Linked DNA regions of Cricetulus griseus. The protein of the gene in region 2 binds, or shares a complex with, the protein of the main gene of each other region. Links are inferred from orthologs where the notes say so. Each region holds a gene or a part of one and is shown on either strand. Other genes may lie near its edges. The genes, in order: Tnfrsf13c and Tnfsf13b.

Region 1 (3,916 bases), on a different chromosome or scaffold from region 2:
GCTAGAACAATAGAAAGCTTGGACTCTGGCAGCAGGGTGCTGGGGAGCTTGAAGCAAGCAGAGCTGGAGGGGGTGGGGATCTGCAGATTAGCAAAACCTGTCTCCCTGCAGTTCTTTCCCTGGAGCCCTGTGACCCTGCTTGGTCGTGCTTGTGCCTTGCCCAGGCCCCTGCTCTATCAGGCTTTGGGTCCCCAGTGTTAGTTTCCCACTTGCCCCTCATCAGTTTCTCTCAAACCCTGTCAGTCATACAAACAAGCTCTCTGAAGCTTGGGACATATGTAGCCCCCTTCCCAGGAGTCATGGGCTGCAAAGGGCCTGAGGGAGCTCCCAGCTGGGAGCTCAGGCCTGGAGTCCCCTGGTGGGCCTCAGGGTTAGGGGCTGAGGGATATCTTTAGCAGCTTCAAGGGGAAATGGCATGGGAAAGGCCTGCGATGGTGAAGGGCTGTACACATACATGCTGGGGGACAGACATGGCCACTGCTGTGGGGTGCTGGGATAAAGGAGAGCACCATTGCTGAAGATGGACAGGGTCCAGCTGGAGAATGAGGCCTGGCAGTGAGGAGACATGGAGTGTTTGGGTGTGCGTCTCACTGCCTTGACTCACAAGGGCTCTGTGGCTGCATCCAGAGGCTGCAGCCTTTGGAGAGGCAAGGAGGCTGGTGCTCTAGTACAGGGTAGGGGAAGGTGCAGAGCTGAACACGGAGTGAAAGAATCAAAGCGCGTCACTGGAGATCCTGGGGACTCACACAGAACCCTAGTCAGTCAGTCTCTCGGGGTTCTGGCCCATTGCCTTTCCATCCCCTTGCCTATGGGCCAGCAACTTGAAGGCAGGAAGGTGTAGGCGGCAGGGTAGCTGCAAAGGAGAAGTGGGTGTGGGGAGGTGGGTGTGGGTGTGGGTGTATGGGGAGGTGGAGAAAGGGAAGGAGCACCGAGAGGAGCCAGGGCAGGAGCCAGCCCTTCTTATAGTTGAGAGGCATGAAGGTTAAGACCAGAAGTCTTGGCTGCAACCCTCTGCTCACACCCCCTCTGTCACTACTGAGTTGCTGTTACTCAATCATTGTTAGGGCTATGGAGCCCAGCCTATGCACCAGGCATCTTAACTGTTGTGTCCGATACTGACACTGAAGAAGAGCCTGGGGTTCATGGAAACCCAGGGCCAGCAATCTAGTCCTGGGAGAGGGAAGCCCAGCAGGGCCCAGGTTGGGAAAATTCCCAAGGGCCACACAAAGGAAGCTGCCCTGCAAGGAGATGCTACTTCACAACAGGATGAGGATTACTAGTTACTCAGGCTCCTGCAGCAGACAGGCCATCTCCGGGTATGAAGCAAGAGGGCTGTAATTCAGTCACAATGAAAGAATCCTTCACTTCAGCCAGAGAGGGACGTTTGAGGTCTGGGAGGACAGAAGCAAAATTACTCACATGACACAAATGTTTATTGGGCATTTCCTATGGGCCCCATCGAGCCCATAGACTAAGGAGCTAGACTAAGCCGGCGACAGCAAAGGCTTGTGGGATTCACGTCTGACATGTACAGGTGCTCAACCTCAGCCAAGTATTTTCACTTGTGTCTCTATGGGGGTGGGGTGGAGGCTGTGACAGTCCTTGAATCTCTGCTTGGATGATTACATGGTTAAGAGGAGAGACTTGGGACTAATGATGTAACTCAGCTGTGTAATGTTTGCCTAGCATGCACAAAGCAGCTCTGGGTTCCATCCGGATGGTGTGGTATAAATTTGGCATAATGGAATACACTTGTAATATCAGCTAGCACTAGGGAGGCAGAGGCAGAAGAGGCCCAGGAGCTCAAGGCTATCCTTGGGCTACATAGTAGGTTTGAGGAGTCCATCCTGGGCTATGAGACCCATCAAGTGATAACAAGACCAAGAGGGAAAGGCAGAGGGAATGAGGTGGTACTCACCAATGTAGGCAATGTTAGGCTATACGTCAATGTATTGTTTTTCATAGCTGTTAAATCAAGTTTGTTTGTTTATTTATTTATTTATTTTTGAGAGTTTCTGTGTACTAGCCCTGGCTGTGCTGGAACTTGCTCTGTAGACCAGGCTGTCCCTGAACTCAGAGATCTGCCCGACTCTGCCTCCCAAGTGATGAGATTAAAGTCCTGAGTCACCACTGCTGGGCTAGTTTTGCTTTTGTTGTTGCTGTTGTTTTTTGAGAAAGAGTTTCTCTTTGTAGCCTTGGCTGTCCTGAAACTGTGTTGACCAGGCAGGCCTTGAACTCAGAAATCTGCCTGCCTCTGCCTCTGGAGTAATACTGTGTGTGTGTGTGTGTGTGTGTGTGTGTGTGTGTGTGTCTGTCTGTCTGTCTGTCTGTCTAAGTGTATGTTTGTCCACCATGTGTGTGCAAGAACCTTCAGAGGCCAGAAAAGGGCTTAAGATTCCTGGGAACTGGAGTTGCAGGCAGATGTGAGCCATCATGTGGACACTGGGGACTGAACCCAGGTCCTCTACCTCTAGAGCAATCAGTGCTCTTAACCACTGAGCCATCTCTCCAACCCCAAGTTCATCCTTCCACATAACATTTCTAGCTTACTGAGGAAGAAGCAGTGGAGAGCCACAAAGGGCATAGTCTAGAGGAGGTGGGCTTCTGTGTCTCCCCGGGGCTAGCATATCCTCCAGTGCCACCTTCTCAAGCCAGAAGTTCTTCTGTGTCACTTTTGACTATGAGACTACCAAGAAATTAGTTCCAATTCACTGTAGTGCTTGCACATTTTCCTTCTAACAGATTTTTGCTTTTTAATTTGTTTTTATGGATTTTGTTATTTATAAATCTCTTTATGACAGACAGGATACTGCCATGTTGCCTAGGCTGACCTCAAACTTCAAAGATCAAGCAAGTTTCTTGCCTCTGCCTCTTGAGTAGCTGGGCCTAAACACACATTCCACCAGCCCTGTCCCACGCTATGTTCTCGCCGGCAAGAATCACACAGGACACTCGGATCCTTCTGCAGGAAAGCTTTAATGCATCTTGAGAGAGGAGAGCATAAGCTTACCAGAGCGGAGACCCCGAGCCAAGAATCCCGTCCCCTAATAAAGGCTGGCAGCCCCGCCTGGGACGTGTCACCCTATGAATGGCTTCAGCTCCTCAGGCCATATGAGCCACGGGATAGGCAGAGATCAAAGAAATGGAAATTACCCAGCGCCTGCGAAATAATTTACATTCAGTGCCTGCAGGCACCATCATTGTAATGGAGAATGCAGGGATGGCTCCCTACACAGCCCAACCTACCAGCCCTTAAAAAAAAAAAAAAAAACAACAATTTTCACTTTGAACAATTTGCTATGACTTCAATGCATTCTTTTCTTTCTTTCTCCTCAGTGCTGAGGATTTCACCTATAATGCCAGCACTTGGGGTGGGATGGAGCAGCAGGATTAGGAGTTCAAGGCAAGACTGGTCTACACAAGACTCTTGCTTAAAAAACAACCAAATTTTTATTTTATTATTTGTGTGTATGATGTATGCCTTAGGGTTTCTACTGCTCTAAAGAGACACTATGACCACAGCAACTCTTATAAAGGAAAACATTTAATTGGGGTGGCTTACAGTTTCAGAGGTTTAGTTTATTGTTATCATGGCGGGAAGCAAGGCAGTGTGCAGGCAGACATGGTGCTGGAGAAGGAGCTGAGAGTAGAGAAGCTTCATCTTAATACCACAGGCAACAGGAAGTTGTCAGAGCGTGGCTTGAGCATATGAGACCTCAAAGTCCACCCCCAGTGACACACTTCCTCCAACAAGGCCACACCTCCTGGGCCCATTTTCTTTCAAACCACCACAATGTGTGTGAGTGGAGTCATACATGTGCTACAGTGCGCATGATGCCAAGGGCAACTCTCAGGAGCTCTGGGAGGCACATTCAGGTGTCAGGCTCAGCAAGCAAGTGCCTCTTGCCAGCCTGGA
Region 2 (3,634 bases):
TTCAGATACTTTAGAGGTATTTCACAATCCTGGCTTTCACATTGCTGTTTGCTGTAACTGTCTGAGACTAAAGACATTCTTCCGGTTCTGAATAGGTTTGTGAAGGCCAGTAGAGAGAAACACACATGCCTAATAGGGAAAACAGTTTTCTAATACCAGTGCCTATTAATTTGAAACAAAATGAGTAAAATGTTGCCAGTTCCAGAGTGGAGAGACTGGAACTGATACAGTCTGTCTTCCCTGCGCATCTGTGTCCCTGAGCATCTGTGTCCCTGAGCTACATGCAAGGCTTCTCTTGCAATTTTGAGTTCACAACTAGTCATGTGTACAAGGCCACCTGTTTTCCCATGAGAACTAACCCAGGCATTCTGCAATATGCTCTTCCTTGCACTCAGAGATGAGTGGGGTCATTGTTTCCATTACACACTCACATTGTGGGGACAGCAGTGCTGTAACTTGAGGCTGAGGCACTTAAGGAGCAGCCATGTTACTTCTGTGGCTGGCATTCTCCCTCACATGGGAATGTTACAAAAGTAAGGAAGCATGACTGGCAGATGGTGAAGCAGACAGATAACTGAGCAGCAAAAGAAAGACCAGAATTTTCCCAATGAGTAGACATTGTTCCTGTTGCTGCAACTGTGGTTTCCTGCACAGCACCAGAACAAGACTGGGACCCTCAGCTCTGCTTCCGGGATTAGGGAGGGGCTTGTGAACCCACACCTCTCCTGGAAGACTATTGACAGTTCATGGCTTCTGGGGAAGGGGCAGACAACTGTCATTGTCTTCAGTAGTGTAACTACTAAAACGCTGCTCAGGCTCCATAACCTCCCTCCCATGCTCATGAAGCTACCATAATTAATCTCAGTGGGGCTAACACAGAAAAAGACAGGAAAGCAGGAGGGGCTTGCTTAGAAGAAGAAGGGACACCACAGAAGAGAAAGGTGGCTAAAGAGTGTAACAATGATATAAGAAGGACTAAAAATCATATACTTTGTCACGGGATAGAAGAAAAATAATTATCGCTCCAATGTTAAACCCTGTGACACTCATTCTTAATTTTTAAAACACAATTATTTCATTTAAATATTTTTCATGTGTGTTTTTGTATTTTTCCTGCATGGATATATGGGCTCTATGCATGTACAGTGCCCAAGGTGACTGGAGAGGGTGTCAGGTGCCCTAGGTCTAGAAATCCCAGCAGTTGTGAGCTGCCATGTGGGTGCTAGGAATCAAGCCTGGGTCCTCTGGAAAAATAGCAAGTGCCCTTCTCTGCTTAGCTGTCTCTTCAGCCACCTTCTTAATTTTTATAAAAATGGCTTGACCATTAGTGACAACACTGGTTTTCTCAATTAACACAAACTATTGCAAAATAAACAGTATGGTCTACAGAAGAAGGCCTTTCCATTAAGATCACAAAGAACCACTTTGGGGGGATCAGATTTCCCCAGCACAGTCTACATTATCCTGTTAAACAAGTCTTAGGACAGCTTCATACCAGCTGAGTAGCAGGAATTGTTGGGCAGTGTTCTTGGCATATTCTGAATGCATCGGAACAGGGTCACCAGACTGAGCTCGTCCCCAAAAACATGCACTTTCTTCCTCTGGATAAGATGTCCCATGGCAAAAATGGTATCTGTGTATAGAACCTGAGAAACAAGCCAAGATGTTGTCAGATATGCAAGACTGTGGAAGCACTGGACCAGGAAAGATGAGGAAAGGTCTGACACTACCTGGCTGTAGATGAAGAAGTAACCCGTTTGCTTCACCACGATTTTGTTCTCTTTTTCCTCCAAGGCGCTTCCTCTTTTAAAGCTGAGAAGCCATGGAACAAATGTGTAGGATCCTGTAGTAGAGATAATATCTCATAAGAAAGCAAACTGAGAAAAGCAGTTTTCCCTTCCACCAAGAAGGGAAATAGAAGAAGGAGAAGAAGGAGGAGGAGAAGGAGAAGGAGGAGGAGGAGGAAGAGGAGGAGGAAGAGGAAGAAGAAGAAGAAGAAGAAAAAGAAGAAGAAGAAGAAGAAGAAGAAGAAGAAGAAGAAGAAGAAGAAGAAGAAGAAGAAAATCTTCATTGTGCTATTACATATTTTAGCATGGGTAACCTTGGTGCCTAACAGACTTCACTCCACAGGAATGTTTGGGTTTCTTTCCTTGTTTTGTATATTGGCTATTTCCTTATTAAAGTTGGTTTGGGTGGGAAAGCCAGAAAGAGAGAATTGGATGCTCCCCTGCACAGCACACTCAAGAGTATCTTCTTCTATCTTCTGAGTAATCAGGTGAAGAAATCAACAAAATGTGTCTGGAGGAAGTAAATCTGGCAGCAGAACACAACTAGGAAGTTCGGTCAGCAACGGAGACATACCCTGTACTTGGAAGTGCTCAGAACCCATGTACCAGGAGTACAACATTGGCTATGATGGGTTCTGAGCACTTCACAGTACAGGCTATGTCTCCATCGCTGTCTGCATTTCCTATCCAGAGTGACAGGAAGACACTGTGCTCCAGCCTGTATTGAAGGAAGACAGAGAGGGCAGAGAGAGCAGCAGAGGGAACCAAGCCAAACAATACAGCAGATGTTGCCTAGATCTCAGGGAGATCTGCAAGCACACATTTCCTAAGAAAAAGCTTACTCACGCCGGAGTGTGCACAGTTGCAGTATGAAAACATTGGCTTTAGGTTAAACCTCAAAGCTAGACAATGAGAAGAGATATAAAGAAGACTGAAGGAAAGCAACTGGCAGAGGACCAGGGTCATGGCACAGTGAGGACACCATAGTAAGCAGCGCTGTGGTGTGAGTGTAAAGATGCCAGAGCATTCTGGTACAGTGAGAAATAGTGAGCCTCTTTTAAAGCATCACCTCTGTCAACCAAAGGGCGGAGAGGAGGATTCAAGGGCCAATCAGGTGAGTCCTAAAGAGGTGAAGAGAACCCCATTCACGTTTACATCACTGTGTCTCTGTCTCACAGGTTCATCCACGCTGTGACAAAGGACGGGATACCCTTCCATTCTACGGCCACATGGTAGTCATTGCTTCATGCCCTGAGTCACCATTACCCATTCCCCTGTTGATGGGCATCGGGTTGATTTCTTGGCTGCTGTGATAGGTACTGCAATGAACTTGGGAGAATGGGTGTCTCTTTGATTTAGTTTTCTTTATCTATAAACCCAGAAGTGGGGTTGCTAAATCACACTGCAGTTCTACTTTTAACTTGGGGGAGGGGACTCTATATATTTTTGTACAATGGGTGCACTAATTTATATACCCAATTCAAATAAGGCCCTCACCAGAAGAAGACTAAACAAGAACCACGTATTTTCCAAATATGTTAAAGGAATTGCAAAACATCAGCAGTAAAACAAAGCAGATGTCACTGTGAATTCAAGTCACAGTGAGTAAAAGTCATTAAATTACCTCCTCAAGTACAGCACTACCACACATAGATGGGGCTGAGGAAGATGCTGGGGTGGCTGGGAGGAAGCGGGCAGGGAGGCGGTGGTGCTGGACATGGGCAGATAGATACAGACACATGACGAATCTTCTTCCTCCTCAGCCTATGTCTGTGTGCACTCCCTCCTTGGAGTGATTTCCCAAGAATGGTGCGGCCCCTGAGGTGGAGCGGGACAGATCAACAAAC

Evidence for each region.
Region 1: the proteins of Tnfsf13b (region 2) and Tnfrsf13c are in contact, whole or in part, in a crystal structure (PDB 1OQE), measured with the Homo sapiens proteins. The link is inferred for Cricetulus griseus from reciprocal best matches to the Homo sapiens genes TNFSF13B and TNFRSF13C. Residues at the interface, in NP_006564.1 of Homo sapiens: Ser162, Tyr163, Asp203, Thr205, Tyr206, Ala207, Met208, Gly209, His210, Leu211, Thr228, Arg231, Cys232, Ile233, Pro264, Arg265, Glu266, Asn267, Ala268; in NP_443177.1 of Homo sapiens: Asp26, Leu27, Leu28, Val29, Arg30, Val33, Leu37, Leu38, Arg39, Pro41, Arg42.

What each region holds. Positions count from the first base shown.
Region 1 is NC_048595.1:379,361,587-379,365,502, forward strand, and holds the start of Tnfrsf13c (tumor necrosis factor receptor superfamily member 13C), read right to left. Parts: upstream 2,259-3,916; 5' UTR 1-2,258. UniProt on the Homo sapiens protein: B-cell receptor specific for TNFSF13B/TALL1/BAFF/BLyS. Promotes the survival of mature B-cells and the B-cell response.
Region 2 is NW_023276807.1:70,487,083-70,490,716, forward strand, and holds part of Tnfsf13b (tumor necrosis factor ligand superfamily member 13B), read right to left. Parts: intron 1,844-3,634; coding exon 1,731-1,843; intron 1,647-1,730; coding exon 1,496-1,646; intron 1-1,495. UniProt on the Homo sapiens protein: Cytokine that binds to TNFRSF13B/TACI and TNFRSF17/BCMA. TNFSF13/APRIL binds to the same 2 receptors. Together, they form a 2 ligands -2 receptors pathway involved in the stimulation of B- and T-cell function and the regulation of humoral immunity.